Callithrix jacchus: one gene and its partners. The protein of the gene in region 1 purifies or fractionates together with the protein of each later gene. This does not show direct contact. Links are inferred from orthologs where the notes say so. Each region holds a gene or a part of one and is shown in the gene's direction. Other genes may lie near its edges.

What was found.
Region 2: the proteins of DDX24 (region 1) and FBL purify together in Homo sapiens (affinity purification with mass spectrometry; 3 studies listed by BioGRID and IntAct, with this or other methods). This does not show direct contact. The link is inferred for Callithrix jacchus from reciprocal best matches to the Homo sapiens genes DDX24 and FBL.
Region 3: the proteins of DDX24 (region 1) and KRR1 purify together in Homo sapiens (affinity purification with mass spectrometry; 3 studies listed by BioGRID and IntAct, with this or other methods). This does not show direct contact. The link is inferred for Callithrix jacchus from reciprocal best matches to the Homo sapiens genes DDX24 and KRR1.
Region 4: the proteins of DDX24 (region 1) and RPLP0 purify together in Homo sapiens (affinity purification with mass spectrometry; 3 studies listed by BioGRID and IntAct, with this or other methods). This does not show direct contact. The link is inferred for Callithrix jacchus from reciprocal best matches to the Homo sapiens genes DDX24 and RPLP0.
Region 5: the proteins of DDX24 (region 1) and NIFK purify together in Homo sapiens (affinity purification with mass spectrometry; 3 studies listed by BioGRID and IntAct, counting the BioPlex papers as one, with this or other methods). This does not show direct contact. The link is inferred for Callithrix jacchus from reciprocal best matches to the Homo sapiens genes DDX24 and NIFK.

Annotation. Positions count from the first base shown.
Region 1 is NC_133509.1:128,875,618-128,879,132, reverse strand, and holds part of DDX24 (ATP-dependent RNA helicase DDX24), read left to right. Parts: intron 1-2,234; coding exon 2,235-2,423; intron 2,424-3,515. UniProt on the Homo sapiens protein: ATP-dependent RNA helicase that plays a role in various aspects of RNA metabolism including pre-mRNA splicing and is thereby involved in different biological processes such as cell cycle regulation or innate immunity.
Region 2 is NC_133523.1:35,090,757-35,094,271, forward strand, and holds part of FBL (rRNA 2'-O-methyltransferase fibrillarin), read left to right. Parts: intron 1-414; coding exon 415-612; intron 613-717; coding exon 718-819; intron 820-904; coding exon 905-999; intron 1,000-2,014; coding exon 2,015-2,185; intron 2,186-3,384; coding exon 3,385-3,515.
Region 3 is NC_133510.1:78,158,895-78,163,008, reverse strand, and holds the start of KRR1 (KRR1 small subunit processome component homolog), read left to right. Parts: upstream 1-1,308; 5' UTR 1,309-1,344; coding exon 1,345-1,429; intron 1,430-4,114. UniProt on the Homo sapiens protein: Part of the small subunit (SSU) processome, first precursor of the small eukaryotic ribosomal subunit.
Region 4 is NC_133510.1:123,328,278-123,332,275, reverse strand, and holds the start of RPLP0 (large ribosomal subunit protein uL10), read left to right. Parts: upstream 1-1,194; 5' UTR 1,195-1,227; intron 1,228-1,475; 5' UTR 1,476-1,523; coding exon 1,524-1,577; intron 1,578-2,927; coding exon 2,928-3,103; intron 3,104-3,211; coding exon 3,212-3,299; intron 3,300-3,404; coding exon 3,405-3,551; intron 3,552-3,657; coding exon 3,658-3,843; intron 3,844-3,998.
Region 5 is NC_133507.1:106,278,389-106,281,903, reverse strand, and holds part of NIFK (MKI67 FHA domain-interacting nucleolar phosphoprotein), read left to right. Parts: intron 1-865; coding exon 866-1,077; intron 1,078-2,236; coding exon 2,237-2,296; intron 2,297-2,411; coding exon 2,412-2,480; intron 2,481-2,850; coding exon 2,851-3,039; 3' UTR 3,040-3,515.

The DNA of each region.
Region 1 (3,515 bases):
TTAAATTTGTAAAATATTTAATATTTCTCGTGTTTTAAACAGCAGTGAGTACCTATTTAGGGTTCTTATTAAGATAAGTTACTAGGTATAAAGAGCTTAAGAAGGAACCTGGCACATTGTAAGCACTTACTCACGTTAACTGCCATTGATAGTAGCAATAATATCAGTGTGTGCGTCTAGTGAATATCAGCATAGAGTTGTGGTTAGGAGTATGGGCACCTGAGCCAGACTGCCAGGGTTCTAATCCGCAGACTACTGCTTCGTAGTTGGTTAGCTTTAGGCAGTTATTTAGTACCTCTGGTTTCCATGTCATTGTTTGTAAACTGGAAGTAGCAATGCTAGCTACCCCATAGGGTTATCCTGAAAATTAAATTGAGCTGATGCTGATGAAGCCGGTAGCACAGTGTAAACACTCAATAAATGGTAGGTATTATGGCATTATTATTTTTTCGCTTTAATTCCTCTTTGTGCTTTTAAAAATCTTTTAGGCTGCTGTTTCAGTGAAAAAACAAACTCAAAGTGCTTTTTCCCATTCTCTCACTTCACAACAACAATCAACACAGAAGACTTCTGTAACCAAATGTGTGGTAGTTTTCACCACATATCAAGCAGTAGACACCAGCTGGGTGTCCTCTAATTCAGTTTCATTTTCTGATGCTGTCTTCCTGGAGATAGTCTCAGATCCCACAAGATGTCCCTCCTTCTCACGACCAGCCAATAAGTCCGGACCTCTAGAACCTCTGACCAACCAGCTTCAAGTTGGGGTTCCCATGACCCCTCTCTTTGGGTTCAATTAATTTGCTATGGCAGCTCTCAGGACTAAAAGAAACACATTTACCAGTTTATTATAGAGGATATTACGAAGAATATAGATGGGGAGCTGTATAGGCTGAGGGTACGCCATGCCTGTCCTGAGTATACCACCCTCCAAGAACCTCCACATACTAAGTTTATTCAAAAGTTCTCCAAACCCTGTCCTTTGGGGCTATTAATGGAGACTTCATTAAGATGATAAATTAAACCATTGGCCTTTGGGAAGGAAGGCTGAAAGTCCCAACCTTCTAATCCTGCCTTGGCCTTTCTGGTGACCAGCCCCCATCCTGAAGCTACCTAGGGGGCTATCAGCCATCAGTCAGTAGTTTGTCATTAGCATACAAAAAGACATTACTTTGGAGATTCCTTTGCCAGGAAACAGGGATGAAGAGTAAATATATATTCCAGGGTATCACAGGTGCCAATTTTGGTTTAGCAAGTCTCTATATACTCTACCCTTTTTGGGGGAAGTAGCTGGGTCAACCTTTGTGGAGTCAAGATGAATCAAATGCAGTCCCAGCCCCTAAGAAGTATTGGATCCAGCAGAGGAGGTGAGATGACCACAGCCATAATTTAAGGTAGAAGTTATTAGAAAATTACAAAATACAATGGAAGAGAGAGGTAACTTCTGGTTTGGGAGTCTGGAAAGTACTTTCTAAAAAGATGCCTGGCATTTAAGGTGGAGAGGATTTGGACATGTAGAGGCAGAAAAAGAAGGAGCAAAGAAATGGGCAATGTTCAAGGGCACTTGGCTTAGAGTGGTAAGAGGAGATGTGTTGGGAAAGGAGTAGTTGCTGAGGCTGGTGGGGTAAGTTGGGGGCAAGTTGCTGAAGGCCCTGAGTGTCAAGTTGAAGACACTCTAAGACACTTTTATCCTCTAAACAAAGAATGGCAAATAAATCTCATTTCTAGAACTCTTATGAACGGTTCATAAAGTACTGCTTAAAGTACTATATCGGAAAAGATACCTAGATGTTATCTGGGTCCAGTGGAGAAGACTGTTGTGCTTGATTAATGCTGTGTGCCAGAGGCTCAGTGAATGTCAGTAACCATGCCACGTTACCTATGGCTAATATATATATTGGATTAGTATAACCCAGTGATTAACATGGTCTGTGGAGCTGGGCTGCTTCACTTTAAATCCTGGATAATAAGTGACTGCTGTGGTCTGGCTGCATGGTCCTGAGGACCTGAACCAGCAGGAGCATGGGAGAGGAGAGCCTGCACAGTGAATGGGCTAAACCTGGGAATATTTTGAATGTGGGATTAAGAGAGGAGGGTTAGATTGCTTTACAATGCTGCAGAGGTTTCTACCTGCCTGGCTGGGAGGGAGGAGGGTCCAGCTTGGGGATGTGGCCCTGAGGAAAGGACCAGTGTTTGGCAGTGGCCATGTTTTGATCTCCCAGTTCTTCCTGTGGCAGGTCCCACGTACCTCAGAGATATATGTACACCGAAGTGGTCGAACTGCTCGAGCTACCAACGAAGGCCTCAGCCTGATGTTGATTGGGCCTGAGGATGTGATCAACTTTAAGAAGATTTACAAAACCCTCAAGAAAGATGAAGACATCCCACTATTCCCCGTGCAGACAAAATACATGGACGTGGTCAAGGTAGAGAGCAAAGTTAAAAGCCCAGTGCTAATGAAGGGATTGTGCTGCTCCCTCACAGAGCACCTCACTGTGGGGCTCTGGCAGCATAACCCTTGAAAACTAAGGAATGGTTCTGCCAATGGCTGAACAAAGAGACTTGTAGAAAGGATTGAGAGCAACATGCCTGGGAAAAGGGAGAAAAGGGGAGTGACTGAAGGTGTGAGGCATTTTCTCCCTGAACCATTTCTTCCTTGTCTGGCCATGAAGTTCCCCCTCCTCACTGGACAGTGCAGTGGTTGGCTGCCTGGACATTCTCTCAGAGGGTTGTAGACAGTGTGGTTAGTTTTCTTGCTGAGGTGGATGCTACAGGTTTGGCACATCCCTGAAGCAGGTGCCAGTAAATTCTGTCTTTGGGGTTTTATTTTAACTCAGGCATTAACCAGGTGAGTGCTGCTTATTGAGGGACACTGTGTTAGGGACCAAAGTGGGATGGGTTCTCCTCCCAGAGGTTTGCCAGCTGTGAATATTAAGTTCAGTTACAATGGAGCCATGTGGAATCACTGGGCATGTGGTTATATTGGGAGGAGAAGATGTTCTCTCCAAGCTTCCTGAAGGCAAATATGTGGAAGGGTACAGAGGAGATGGAATACCAGGAATTGAGGGGGCAAAAGCATGGAACAATTCAAGGACTGTTGGCTTCTCTCGAAAGAAATATTAGCTGTGTGGGGAAATAGGGTGGAGATAAGGATGGAAAGGTGGAAATCATAAGAGAATTCCCATTAGTAAGCAGGGTTAGGAGCTACCCAGACTTCCCACGGTTCCTTTCCCCACATTACAAGATCTTTCTCATTTTCTCAGGACATCTTGCCACTGCATTGTAGCCCTAAAACCCCCTCGAGGGAGAATTGAAATGTTTTTTTTCTTAGCTCAGCTATAGAAGCCAGCTGTTGTAAGACTTCACTTTGGTTACCTATAGGCTGGCAGTCAAACCAGTAAGGGTTTTCAAAGGATGTGGCTGTTAGGTTGATTGTTGGGAATGTTGGCGGTTGTGCTTACATGTGTACACACAGATTTACACAGGGTAATGGTTGCCCACTGGGCTTTATCAGGAAA
Region 2 (3,515 bases), on another chromosome or scaffold:
AAATTTAGCCAGGAGTAGCGGCACATACCTGTAGTCCTAGCTACTTCAGCGACTGAGGCAGGAGAATTGCTTGTGTCCAGGAGTTCAAGGCTGCAGTGAGGTATGATTCTGCCACTGTTCTCCACCCTGTCTCAAAAAAAAAAAAAGCACTAAGCAAAAAAAATTTTTAACTGTATATAACTGAAGATCATATTCATGATCTTGATTGTGAATATCTTGTTTTATTTGTCCGTTCTGTTGATGGACATTTGTGTGAGTCCTGCTATTCTTTTGCCGTGGGCATTCCTGGAAATGCATCCTGGTGCACACGGACACGTGTTTTAGTTTCTTGCCAGAGTGGTATTGCTGGGTACAAGGCTGTTTAACCTTCTAAGCTTCATTGCTCTGATTCCTGCTTTTGTTTTTCCACCACAGGTTTCAGTTCCCGTGGGGGTGGCTTTGGCGGCCGAGGGGGCTTTGGTGACCGTGGTGGTCGTGGAGGCCGAGGGGGCTATGGTGGGGGCCGAGGTCGAGGTGGAGGCTTTAGGGGTCGTGGACGAGGAGGAGGAGGAGGTGGCGGCGGTGGCGGTGGCGGTGGTGGCGGCGGCGGCGGAGGAGGAAGAGGAAGAGGTGGTGAGTAAGGTTGGCGAGGGGTTATGGAGGAGGCCTTCCTGGGGCCGGGAGTGGGGAGGACAGAGATGCAGGGTCTTCCTCTCCTGTTGTGCCTCACCTTTATAGGTGGAGGCTACCATTCTGGTGGCAACCGGGGTCGTGGTCGGGGAGGAAAAAAAGGAAACCAGTCGGGGAAGAACGTGATGGTAGAGCCACATCGGCATGAGGGTGAGTGAGGAAGCCCAGAGCCGGCTGAGCTTCGGGGCAGGAAGGGGCCGGGGGTCCTCAGGCCTGCTCTGATCCCCTCAACCAGGTGTCTTCATTTGTCGAGGAAAGGAAGATGCACTGGTCACCAAGAACCTGGTCCCTGGGGAATCAGTTTATGGAGAGAAGAGAGTCTCGATTCCGGTGAGACCTGGGATCCTGTCCAAGCCCCCAGGGGCACAGCTGAGGGTGTAGCCAGTAGTCTGGTGTGTCTGCCTTCACCCTGTGTCCTGCACATGACAGCTGGAGGACCATCATAATATGTAAACCACACTGTCTGCTCCCTTCCTCACCCGCCTTCTGTGACCCCCCACTGCCTTCAGGTTACAGTCCTGACTTCTTCACTGTGGCCTCCAAGGCCCTGCACATTCTAGTTCCCCCTCCCTGCTCCCTGGCCCTGTCTACTCCTGTCCCCCTGACCAGGTGCCCTTCAGCCACCCTGGCCTTGCTGTTCCCACTCCAGCTCTGTGGAGGCTGCTTTCTTATCATCTGCTTCTCCAGGCTGCCTCACACCACCCTGTGTGTTGAGGCAGCCCTCACCATGCTGCCCTGTCCTGTTACCCCATGTCATTTTCTTTGAGGCCAGGGGCCTTTCCTAATGGCTTTACCTCTCCTGGGAATGTCCTTCCTCAGATAACTCGAATGGTCCTTTGTCTCCTTTGGTGGTCTGATTCGGAATCTGCCTTTCACTCCGTCCCTGGTCCCCTTTCTCACTTTCACCTGCTCCTTGCCCTGCTTTCCAAACTTTGTATCTTCTTTCCTGGCTTCGTCTTCTCTCCTTGACACCTGTCACCATCTCATATGCCATGTTACCTTTAGTTAGTTTGGTGAATACTCATGCCTTCTGAGCAGGGATCCTTGTCTTGTATCCCCAGGGCCTAGAGCAGGGTCTGGCCCACAGTGGGTGCTGGCACGGTGCATTTGTTGAACGAGTGCTGCTTTTACTGTTACTCTGTGTGTATTCTGTTGCTGCCCCTTGAGTCAGTGACCTCCATGAGAGCAGCGACTGCATGTGTCATGGTCACTGCTCTGTATGCATGTGGGGTTCTTGTGCAGTGATAGAACGGCCCAGTTCCTTTCAAGGGCCTCGGGGTTAAGGGCAGGGAGGTCTTGCAGAAGAGTCTAGCACTGACTTTCATCCCCATCTCTCTTGGTCTAGGAAGGAGACGACAAGGTCGAGTACAGAGCCTGGAACCCCTTCCGCTCCAAGCTGGCAGCAGCAATCCTGGGTGGTGTGGACCAAATCCACATCAAACCGGGGGCCAAGGTGCTCTACCTCGGGGCTGCCTCGGGCACCACTGTCTCCCATGTCTCTGACATCGTCGGTCCGGTGAGTGGGTGGATAGAGAGTCGGGCAGGAGGCAAAGGCTGCCTCCCCTCTGCCAACCTAGAATATCAAGGTTTGACTGTTTGCCCGTACTGTGTGACTTAGGGCAAGGCCCTTTTCTCTCACAGCGCCTTCGAGTAAAAGGAGCAGCTTGAACCCGATAGTGTCATTCAACCTTGCTCCTGGGTTCTTGGCCTCAAGGCAAGAGATGTGGGTGTGGGGTAGCCAACCTTAGAGAGACAGCTGGAAGTATAGATACCAGACTATTTGATTTGATGGCCCTCTTTAAAATGTGATGCCCCTAAAACCTGCTCTTTTGGTTTCTTTAGAAAGAACCAGGAGATCTCATGGTTTCTGAGCCTGCATTTCTGTGTGGTTGTATAATAGGCTTCCCATTTAAAGGGCCCCCGGCACCTGCATGTCACACTCTGGTACCCTTTGTTACATGTTTATAAGCTGTTGAGTGTAGTGCCTTAAAACCCTGGGCTTTGGCCAGGCGAGGTGGCTCATGCCTGTAACCCCAACACTTCGGGAGGCTGAGGCAGGTAGATCACTTGAGGTCAGGAGTTCGAGACCAGCCTGACCAATAGAGTAAAACCCCGTCTCTGCTGAAAATATAAAAATTAGCTGGGCATGGTGGCGTGTGCCTGTAATCCCAGCTACTCGAGAGGCTGAGACAGGAGAATTGATTGAACTTGGGAGGCAAGGTTGCAGTAAGCCAATATTGCGCCACTGCACTCCAGGCTAGGTGACAGAGCAAGACTCTGTCTCAAAAAAAAAAAAAAAAACCCTCAGGCTTTAATCAGGAAAGTTACCTAACCCATCCAAGCCTCAGTTTACCTCTCTGGAACATAGACTTGTGAAAATTATATGAGTTAATTTCCATAAGGAGCTTAAAGCAGTGGTTGACTTGTTACTTCATCTCTGTGCCTCCTGGTTTTAACCCTTTGTTGGGAGCCTAGGCTCTCAGATCAGGCAAATGGATTGGGTACTATTGCTACCTGATGAATAACCCTTGGCCAGTGACTTTATGTCTCTGGACCTCAGTTTATTCATGTGTAAAAAGGACATGATAACAATAGTGGTAGAGTTTTGATTTTGGGGTGGGAAGAGATGCTACACATAGTGTATGGGCCTAAAGTAGGCACTCCATACATGAAAACTAGCATCATGATTGTTCTTTAATTTTTAATTGATTTTAGGATGGTCTCGTCTATGCAGTTGAGTTCTCCCACCGCTCTGGCCGTGACCTCATTAACTTGGCCAAGAAGAGGACCAACATTATTCCTGTGATTGAGGATGCTCGGCACCCACACAAATACCGCATGCTCAT
Region 3 (4,114 bases), on another chromosome or scaffold:
GGATTACCCACAGTATAGAGGAAAATCTGCCTTACTCAGAGTTCACTGATTTGAATGTTAATCTCATCCAAAAGCACTCCCACAGAAACATCCATAAAAATGTTCGATCAAATATCTGGATAACATTACCCAGTGAAGTTGACAATAAAAATTAACCATCACAAATATCTACTAATATGTTTTCCTTATTTTTCTATTGAATTGCTTACATCTTTTTATCACCTTGAATATTATTGTAATCAACCCATTAAATGTTTTGTGAATATTTTCCCCATCTCTATTATATCTTTTATTTTTCTTACACTATTTCTCATCATTTTAAATTTTAAATTATTATTTTGAATCAGTGAGTCACTGAAATTGAGATGAAAATTTGGACACCATCATTTTGATCATCACTATTGAGTTTCTAGTCTTCTAAGATGATTTTAAGAGATTTTTCAATATTTATTTTCAATATGTATTCAATAAATATGATATTTAGTTATTAGTCAATATTTATTTGAAATCGTTCTTTCAATTCTAATGCATTTTTGAAAGATGTTGAAATTAGATCATCTGTCCTTTTCCAAAAAAAGGAATCTAGAGCACACAGTTCTCACACGTGGAAACTATTGTTTAGAGGTTTTAAAAGTTTAAAACTTTCATATGTAATATTGATTGCAATGTTTAATTCTTAGAACTAGTCGAATTTATTTATTCCATACCATATTTATTTTTAAAAGTTTTCTTCGAAATTGCTTAAAACATAGTCTAAGCAAATTGTTGAAATATTGTTCTCATTTAATTTGACTGTCAATTTTAATTTTTAGTAAGTATATATAGGTACTATTTCCTCTTGTAAAGCCAACATATTTTTCACAATAAATAGTAGCTATTCCTGTCACTTCCTGCAGTGAGACCCATATAAATTATATTCTCGTATTTTTATTTCCTCCCGATATCTAGTGCATATTTGGCCATCATCTAAATATTCATCAAAAGAATAAACGACTTCCATGACAGCCTGGTAGCACTCCGCAGTCCGGTGGTCCAGGTTACAACGTGAGGCCGAGGAAACTACGGATTACTATCCAATTTGCCTGCACCGCTTGCTAAACTACAATTCCCAGTACGCAAACTCCATGGTTGCAGTGCATCCTGGGAGAAGGTTTCCGGCTCTTCAATTGGCCAAGTAGGAGAAGCTGTGGGTTGGGCAAAAACGCGGGCCTTAACGCACGTACGCACGGAGACTGCGCAGGTCTCCTCGTCTGAGTTCCGAGGAACTCATTTTGAGTGTGGGTATTTTAGCACGTAGGACTTAAAAACAGTTACACATCCGGCGCCACCGGAAGCAGCTTTAAAATGGCGTCTTCCTCGCTGGAGCGGCCAGAAAAAGCTGCTGGAAAAAGTGAATTTCGTAACCAGAAGCTGAAGCCGGATAACCAAGGTGATGTTATGTGGGAACCGAAGCCTGGGGTTTGTGGACGTTGAGTTGCGATGTTTCTTTCGTTGTTTGTTGACTTATAAAACCACCTGGAGCCTGTTCTTTGTAGTTAAGTACCGGAATTGCTGATGATTAAGATTGTTAGCCGGGCCCACCGGAACGACTAGCCGATATGGTGTCACCCACGTGTTCCTAACTATTTCTTTTGCTGAAGGGTCCCCCAAGCGAAGCTCTTGCGGAATGCGTATTCTGTAAAAGGATGAGGGTTGAGAAAATGTCCAGGGCGCTGCGGAACCTGGTAGCGCGCGGGTGGCCGAAAGTCACTGACGGAATGAGAAATAGGGTGAGGTGGAAATAGGTAGTCATGACATACAGGTGTGGACCCTGATAATGGAGTGAGATGTGGGGAAAGGAGCTGACATGCCCTTAGCTTTAGTTTGTCAGTAAAGAAATTTTAATAGATTTATCAATTATTCCTGTGTCATATTGCTAAAATATTAGACGACACAGTTCTTACTCTTTAGATTGTGCTACCTTTCAATTAACTCCTGCGTTATAGTCTGGTTTTACCCATTTTCTTCAGTATGAGTGACAGAGATAGTCAGAGAAATAGCCTGGGGACCTGCTCAACCAGGCTATAGGAAGTGTTAAAAACATCGAACTCTCAATTTAGATACATTGGGAAAGTAGTAAAGGTTTTTTTGTTGTGGCTCATTAAGTGGTTATGTAATGTAAATAGCAGAGGTTACAACTTATATACAGTTTAAATAATAAAAACATGCAAGAACCTAGCATTCAGACTACTAAGTAGAATAGAGCAAGCATTACTATACCCCTCAAACCCTTATGTACACCTCTCAGATCATATTCTCTTTTCCAGATTCAGAAGTAACCACTCTGAATTGTATTATTTTCTTTTCCTCTTCTTGTAGTCACGAAGTGGCTTAATTTTGCGTCATTTTCAATTTTATACATCAAAGTGGACTGTATGCATTTTTCTGTGTCTTCTAAGGTTTAGCTTTCTGTTTTTCAAACAGGGTAATACCCGTAGGTGTAGTTTTAGTCTTTTCACTGTTACATGGTGTTTCCTTGAATGAATATACCCCAATTTATTTTTTCATTTTACCGTTGGTGGACATTTGGATTGTTCACATTGCTTACAATTATAAACAATACTGCTAAAACATCGTGGTACATGTCTTCTGGTTAGCAAGGGTTTCTCTAGGTTATGAACATAGGATTGCAATCACTGAAGTGTAGGTTGTGTGTAAGTAATGCTAACTTTTTTTTCCAAAGGGGTTGTGTCAGTTTTGTCCCTACTAGCAGTGAATGAAAGTTCTCATTGCCTTCCATTCGTACGAATACGTGATATTATCCGAATTTTGAATTTCTCTAATTTTGGTAGGTATGAAATGGTATCTGGTTGTAGTTTTAATTTGCATTTTGTGATCACCTGTGAGGTTGCATATCTTTTCACGTGTTTGGGGGCTAATTGTACTTTCTTAATTGTGAAACTTCCTGTTTATTTCATTTGTCAGTTTTTTTCTGATTTTGGAGTGGGGAGTTTTAAAAAAAACTGATACATAGCCTTTGAAGATTTTAAATTGGATAGGGACTTGGTCAGGTAAGCATTGTAAGTAACTAGTTGCAGTGGCTCATGCCTGTAATCCCAGCACTTTGGAAAGCTGAGGTGGGCGGATTGCTTGAGCCCAAGAGACCAGCCTGGGCAGCATGGCAAACCATTTCTCTACAAAAAAATATATATATATATACAAAAATTAGCTGGGCATGGAGGCACATGCCTGTAGAACCAGCTAGTTATGAGGCTGAGGCAAGAGGATCAGATTGCTTGAGTCCAAGAGGTCTAGGCTGGGTGACAGAGTCAGGCCCTGTCTCCAGAATACACACACACACACACACACACACACACACACACACTAAATATAAGTCACTTTTGTAGAATGAGTTCTTTAAAGGATATTGGAGAGTGAATGGTATATGAAGACTAGCCAATTGTCTGTGATTTGAACCAGAAATAGCTAAGTGGATGTGAGTATATGCAGAAAGTTAAGCTGTTTGAGGTTGATAAATAGACTAATGACCTGCTTTTCAGACTTACTGTACTTCAGAGTCTCCTGTTGAGCATGGTAAAACAGACTTCTGTCCCTCATCCCAGAAATTGTGATTCAGTAGGTCTGGGGTGGGGCCCAAGAATTGCATTTCTTACAGACTTAGAGTTTATGCTGATACTGCAAGTCTGTAGATCATACCTTTGAGTATAACTGAATTAGAGTATAGCTGTTGAATTTCAGGGGTTCTTAAAATTCAGGACCAGGACTTTTAAAAATCAATGATTCAGGAGATAATTTATGACCCTTAGGAGGCATTTTCTTTTAGTGAAAGGAGTCCCAGGCTGAGTCAGCTTTGTGTTCGCTTAGGCAAGTCACTTAGCCTTTCAGACTGTCTTCTATAAAATGGTAATAATAATACAGATTCGTTCTAACTTCTATAGTTATGATGAAAGGCATATGGAAATAAGGCACTGAAAACACTTAGGAAAACCTAGAATTATCAGTGATTTTTTTTTTGAGATGGAGTTTCACTCTTGTTATCCAGGCTGGAGTGCCATGATGATCTTGGCTCACCGCAACCTCCGCCTCCGGGTTCAGACAATTCTCCTGCCTCAGC
Region 4 (3,998 bases), on another chromosome or scaffold:
CCTGGGCAATATGGCGAAATCCCATCTATACAAAAAATTAGCCAGGCGTGGTGGTGTGCACCTGTAGTCCCAGCTACTTGGGAGGTCAAGGCTGCAATGAGCTGAGATTGCTCCACTGCATTCTGCCTGGGCAACAGAGAGAAACTCCTAAAAAAAAAAAAAAAAAAAAAAAAGATCTGATGGAGATGAATTACTCTGTGGATGTTTGTTGGCTAGTTTTCTAGGAAGAGGAAATGGCCAATGCAAAAGCCCTCCAGTGAAGCCTGCTTTGGAAAAGCAGCAGAGCATCATCTGGCTGGAAAGCAAATAAGTCAGAGGGAAAACATCTGAGATAATTATAGAGGGCATGACGGGCAGATAGGTAGGGCCTTGTAGGTAGTTTAGATTTTAGGTTTTACTCTGTAGGAAACGGAAAGTTTTGAGAAGATAAGGAGATGAGCTGACTTAAGGGTTTTTTTAATTTTGTTTTGTTTTGTTTTGAGACGGAGTCTCTCTCTGTCGCCCAGGCTGGAGTGCAATGGCACGAGCTTGGCTCACTGCCAACTTCTGTATCCCGGGTTCAAGCGATTCTCCTGCCTCAGCCTCCCCAGTAGCTGGGATTACAGGCATGCGCCACCACAGCCGGCTAATTTTTGTATTTTTAGGACAGTCTGGGTCTCGCCATGTTGGCCAGGCTGGTCCTGAACTCCTGACCGTGTCAGGTGATCCACTGGCCTTGGCCTCCCAAAGTGCTGAGAGTACAGGCAGGAGCCACCGCGGCCGGCCAGGTTTTAAAAGTATCCCTCTGTTTTGGTAGGAGGAAAAACAAACTAGAGAAACCAAGAGACCATTCTGCTCTAAGCATTGCAATTATGTCTCAGCCCCATGTCACGCTGTTTAGTTTGCTGAGCTGGCCAGGTGGCAGAGCGAACTCCCAATTAGCTTACTCTAGCGCCTACAAGAAGGCAGCTCCAGCCCAGCAGGTGGCAGCAGCTCAGAGCAAGCGCCTCCAACGCCAGGCAGCTCCTTCCTTCACGATCCTACTTAAAGGCGGCTTCCGTTAACTGAAGTGGCAGCAATATTATCCAATGGCTGCTTGTATTCGTTCGGCTTTGTCGAACGAGCGATGTCGCCAGCCAATAAGTGGGGGCGTTTATCCGCGGTTTCTGATTGGCTACTTTGTTCGCATATAAAATGAACGCTCTAGCCTGCGGCCCTTCTCTCGCCAGGCGTCCTCGTGGAAGGTTTGTGCGTCAAGCCGATCGGCGCCAGGGGCCAGAGGCGGGAAGCTTGGAGGGATCTTTGGGGGCCTTTTGGGAACATGGAGTCCTCTCCTGCTCCCCCTGGGGCCTCGGTGATGGCTCGCACTCCCCGAGGTGGCAGCGGCTGCCCCAGGCCGGGCCGCCGGGCGCTTGCGCGTGTCCTGCTCCATATAGGTCTGGGACCGGGGGATGGGTGCCGGGGTGACCAGGCCTGAGCTCCCTATCTCTCCTCAGTGACAGCGTCTTTAAACCCTGCGTGGCAATCCCTGACGCACCGCCGTGATGCCCAGGGAAGACAGGGCGACCTGGAAGTCCAACTACTTCTTGAAGATCATCGTAAGTGTGGGCTGGGTCGCCGCTGCCCTTCATGTTTCCCCAGCTCAGATAGGGACAGTCGGCTGCTAAGTGCTGAGGGTCTCCTCAGTTCCGGCTCCTGAATCAGGCCATTTTCAGGAAAATCCTGTTTAATTAACAATTCCCTGAGATAGGTCGCCTCTGTTGCAGATAAACAGGCTCAGGCAGGTGGCTAAGATGACAGCATTCATATCCAAGTCTGTTTGGCTTCCAAAAGAGTGCACATTATGCTTGCTTTTTTATTTTTTTGAGACAGAATCTCTGTCGCAAGGCTGGAGTGCAGTGGCGCGATCTCGGCTCACTGCAACCTTCGCCTCCCTGGTTCAAGCGATTATCTTGCCTCAGCCTCCCGAGTAGCTGGGACTACAGGTGCCCGCCACCACGCCCTCCTAATTTTTGTATTTTTAGTACAGAAGGGATTTCGCCATGTTGGCCAGGATGGTCTCGATCTCTTGACCTCGTCATGTGCCCGCCTAAGCCTCCCAAAGTGTTTGGATTACAGGTGTGAGCACTTTTACTCCATCTTTGAGAAGGTCTGAGGTCAGGAATGACTCATTGTAAGGAAGCAAGTTGTTGCATATTTAGGACCTGTCATTCAGGAAACTGAAGTGTCCAGTGACTCTTCTTTTGGATGGCCTTTTGGGTGGGTCCCCCTTGCCCAGAAACACTGACCATACTGCACTTAAGCAATTAGGCAGCATTGTAAAGCATAGCTTGTATTACATTCTCCAATACTTCGAAGGTTTTCAGACACAAAACCCAAAAGAACTGTACAAAAATCCAATTATCCACACCCAGATTTTTTTTTACAAGTAATATGTTGCATATTTGCTTGTGTTGTGTTTTGAAAGCTGTGAATCTACCCGTCCTCTCGACCAGCTTATTTGGAATAGTCCTTTTTTATCCTTTTTTTTTTTTTTTTTAAAGACGGGGTTTCACCATGTTGGTCAGGCCGGTCTTGAACTCTGGACCTCAGGTGATCTGCCCACCTTGGCCTCCAAAGTGCTTTTTTATCCTCTTATAACCATTTTCGTGAATCAAACATGCCTCATAATTGGGAATAGTTAAAAACTAAGAAATTAAAGGAGAAACTCCTTGATTGAATGTAGAAACCTAATTTTCACCGTTTCTACCCAGCAATCGTCATCCAGTTTGGCAGTGTTACAACGTAGCTCCTAGTGGGAAGAATGGCCCCAATCTCCCTTTTGCTTCAAAAGCCTATCAGAAAGGGAGTGAGATGGAAACAAATTGTGGCGTTTTTCAGTTTCTCCTGGCATTTTTCCCCCCTCTTTCTTCCTGTTAAACTTGGCTTTTCTCTGGCTTTTTTTGTAGCAACTATTGGATGATTATCCGAAATGCTTCATCGTGGGAGCAGACAATGTGGGCTCCAAGCAGATGCAGCAGATCCGCATGTCCCTCCGCGGGAAGGCCGTGGTGCTGATGGGCAAGAACACCATGATGCGCAAGGCCATCCGAGGGCACCTGGAAAACAACCCAGCTCTGGAGAAGTCAGTCAGTTCCCGGGGCAGCTTCGTCCTCCCTCCTCCGTGCGAGTCTCCCTCTTTCTGGAAAATGGTGCTGAAAGGTGATTGTTTTCCGTAAACTTCTCTTTGCAGACTCCTGCCTCATATCCGGGGGAATGTGGGCTTTGTGTTCACCAAGGAGGACCTCACTGAGATCAGGGACATGCTGCTGGCCAATAAGGTAAGGGGACAACTGGACTGGCTAAAGAGGCTTTTATCTTTGCTCCTTAAAGCAAAACGGACGATTCTCAGTGGAGACACTTTTCTCACTGTTGTCTTTGTTCAGGTCCCAGCTGCTGCCCGTGCTGGTGCCATCGCCCCATGTGAAGTCACTGTGCCAGCCCAGAACACCGGTCTGGGGCCAGAGAAGACCTCCTTTTTCCAGGCTTTAGGTATCACCACCAAAATCTCCAGGGGCACCATTGAAATCCTGGTGAGTGGACCTGGTTTGCCTGTGCTAGCCAGCCAAATGGGGGGCTTTTTAGTGGCCATGGGTCTGCTGGATGTTCAGGTGTTAACTGCCCCCATTTCTTGTTCAGAGTGATGTGCAGCTGATCAAGACTGGAGACAAAGTGGGAGCCAGTGAAGCCACGCTGCTGAACATGCTCAACATCTCTCCCTTCTCCTTTGGGCTGGTCATCCAGCAGGTGTTCGACAATGGCAGCATCTACAACCCCGAAGTGCTTGACATCACAGAGGAAACTCTGCACTCCCGCTTCCTGGAGGTATATGCTCTCAGCCTGGCCCCCTCTTACACTGATGGTTAAGAGCATGACAAGTGCTGGGCACGGTGGCTCAAGCCTATAATCCCAGCACTTTGGGAGGCCGAGGAGGGTGGATCACGAGGTGAAGAGATCGAGACCATCCTGGTCAACAAGGT
Region 5 (3,515 bases), on another chromosome or scaffold:
GATTTCAGTGTGTGTCACAAGCAGATTCTAATTGGAATTTTAAAATCTCCCAGCATGAGAGCTGTTTTTACCCTAAATGGAACTGGACAAGTTACCTTGGGGACACACAGGAGAAGCAGCTAACCCATGCTTGTGGGCTGTGAAAGACTTATCTGGGGAAATAGCCTTGACATTGAAACCTGAAGACTAAACAGCAGCCAGCCAGGTGAAGGGGACAGAAGTGAAGACAGACCATTCCTGGCTGAGGGACAATGAATGCCAAACCAGAGGTGCCTGGCGATATGGCTGTGAGGGAATGTGAGGAAAAGTAGCAAGAGATGAGGGAGCAGGAAGAGGCTTCAGGTTGGGTTACTGAGGCTTTCTAAGTCAGCAAGTTCAGAATTTATCCTGAGGGAAGTGGGGATAGCAGCAAAGGTCAGAAAGTGCATTGCAGAATCCATCTAAATGGCAATGGCTATAGCTCTTCCACACGAGAGAAGCTAGAAGGCGTAGAGGACTGACAGCTCCAGATTAGAAATTGATCCTGCAGAAAGGAGCCAGTGCTGCCCCGACCCTGCAGTCCATAGAGTGCAGAGAGCATCCGTCTCTAGATCCTGCTGCCCTTGGGAGGCAGAGCGAAGTTTCTGGCCTCCCTGTGCCCATGGTGGCATGTGGCCATCTTAGGTACCCAAGTTCACAGCTGACAAGGCTACCCAGGTAGCGTCTATTCATTTTCCATTGCTGTGAGAAAAGCTGGGATTACAGGCGTGAGCCACGTCATGATGATTATGTGAGGAATGGCACTGGGGAGATTCTAAAGTTAACATTAAAATCTCTTTCCTACCACTTGGTTGAAACTTTTTATGTTTTTTCTTTTTAAAAATAGGTCGTCTTATGCCACCTAAAAAAGTACATAAAGAACTCTTTAAAGACTGGAATGTTCCATTTAAGCAGCCGTCACATCCATCAGTGAAACGGTATAATCGGAATCGGACACTAACACAAAAGCTACGGATGGAGGAGCGATTTAAAAAGAAAGAAAGGTTACTCAGGAAGAAATTAGCTAGGAAGGGAATCAATTATGATTTTCCTTCTTTGGTAAATATGTCTTCATGAAATCTTTTTTTGTGATTTGTTGTGGGGAGGGGAGGGGGTGGCTTTGTATCTCGTAAAGTACCTAGCCTAGTACTTATCACAACCTTGGCTCACTGCAGCCTCTGCATCCTGGGTTCAAGCGATTTGCCTGCCTCTAGCCTCCCAAGTAGCTGGGATTACAGGTGCATACTACCACGCCCAGCTAATTTTTGTATTTTTAGAGATGGGGTTTCTCCATGTTGGCCAGGCTGGTCTCAAACTACTGACCTCAGGTGATCTGCCCACCTCAGCCTCCCAAAGTGCTGGGCTTACAGGTGTGAGCCACCATGTCCAGCCAGTTTTTTGACTGATTTTTTTTTTTTTGATACAGAGTCTTGCTCTTTTGCCCATTCTGGAGTGCAGTGGCACAATCTTGGTTCACTGCAACTTCCACCACCCAGGTTCAAGCAATTCTGCTGCCTTACCCTCCTGAGTCACTGAGAATACAGGTGTGCACCACCACACCAGGCTAATTTTTTGTATTTTTAGTAGAAATGGGGTTTCGCCATGTTGGTCAGTCTGGTCTCAAACTCCTAATCTCAGGTGAACATCCACCTCAGCCTCCAAAAGTGCTGGGATTACAGGCGAGAGTCACTGTGCCTGGCCTGACTAAACTTTTGAAACATTGTAGGTTCTTCCTAAAACATGAGAGCAGATTCTGTTATTTCCATTATACAGAAGAGGAATTGTCCTTTAAGTAGATAATCTGACTGAACCTTAGGCCCTGCTACTCTTGTGAACCCATCTGGGAACTGAGACGGTGAAGCTTGAAAAGGGGCATGCAAGCACTGCTTTCCCTGTGCTTTGCTTGTGACTTAGGGTGATGAGGGTGGCCTGCCTTTGCACATTCTTCCTGCTTCCACCCTCCTGAATTCAGGATTCTGTGAATCAGTGAGCTCCAGATTTGGGTCTTCCCTTCAACCTCTGCGTCTCTGTCCGTTCCTCAGCTGGGCTTCTCCTAGTTTTGCCCTTTACTTGAGATTATTCACTGTATTGAGTTTTGCTTTTTAAATTGAAATGCTCTGTCATTAGGGAGGATTTACTGATAATATATATGAGGATCTAATGCTAAGTTTAAAAAGAAAAGATATGAGACTGTTAATTTATAATTTCTTTATTGAAGATTTTACAGAAAACGGAAAGTATTTCAAAAACTAATCATCAGAAGTCTACAAAAGGCCAGGTAAAATGCTTTTTATCGTATGCCCAATATTAGAGAAAGATAAGTAGGAAAACATTTAAGACTACTATAACTGATCAATATTCAACCTGATGTGTCTTTTAACATTTATTTTAAGGGTTTACACAAGAAGAAGAAAAAGGTGGTCGGCACTCTTGACACTCCTGAGGAGACTGTGGACAGCCAGGTAAGATTGTCTTCCATATTCCGGACACCAGGTTTATACAAAGAATTTGAAGAAAGAAAGGCAGTTTCTGCCACTCTCGTATTAAGATTTCAAATTGAATATTGTCACATTTGGTAGATCTTTATTGTCGATTTAGCAATTTTCTGCGTAATACCTTATAATGGAACGTGCTATGTTCCAATTGCGAATTTCTGTACTAAGTTTGATAAGCATCTCAGTTCTTTATTCTTTACAATAGTATCACGAAAAGATTGAAACAGGACTAAAATAATGTGGTACAACTTGTAAAATAGAAGAGAGGTGATGTTTCGGGTACAGTGATAATCTTGTTCTTCATTTATGTATTATAATCTTTCCTTGTTGAATCTAGGGCCCCACACCAGTTTGTACACCAGCATTTTTGGAGAGACGAAAATCTGAAGTGACTGGAATGGATGAAGATGATAAAGATAATGAAATAGTTTTCAAACAGCCTGTATCCTGTGTAAAAGAAGAAGTACAAAAGACTCAAACACCTGCACGTTCACGGAAGAAAAGGCGAAGAAAAAGCAATCAGTGATTTTTAATGTATTATATTTTCTGAAAAATATAACATTTTTCTGAGGGTGGAGTTTGTATTTTACTAGGAACAATGATATGCAACCCCTGACAAGATTGTCAGAGGAAAAATACACTGTTTGGTCAAGTTAAGGAAAGCAGTCTGTAATTTTGGATTGCCTGCCCTTGGCTGAAATACAGGGGTGCAGACCGGTTTACACTGGCTTGGCTGACATTGTCTCTTTGTCCTGTTCTCTATTTTTCTTTTGACATTTCATAGCTCTCCTTAGTTACTCTGCCTGGATAGAAAGGTGACCACTAAGTGCAGGTTTAAGTACTGAACTGCAGCCTTTTCTGTCACCACCAGTTAAAGACCACCAATCTTGTTTGTCCGTCTGCATGATTTGTCAGGGACATTAACTCATGAGGGTGCTTTAGATTCCAACATCACATGGTTGAAGCTGGAAGTCAAATTTTATGTAGAGTGAGAAGGCAGTT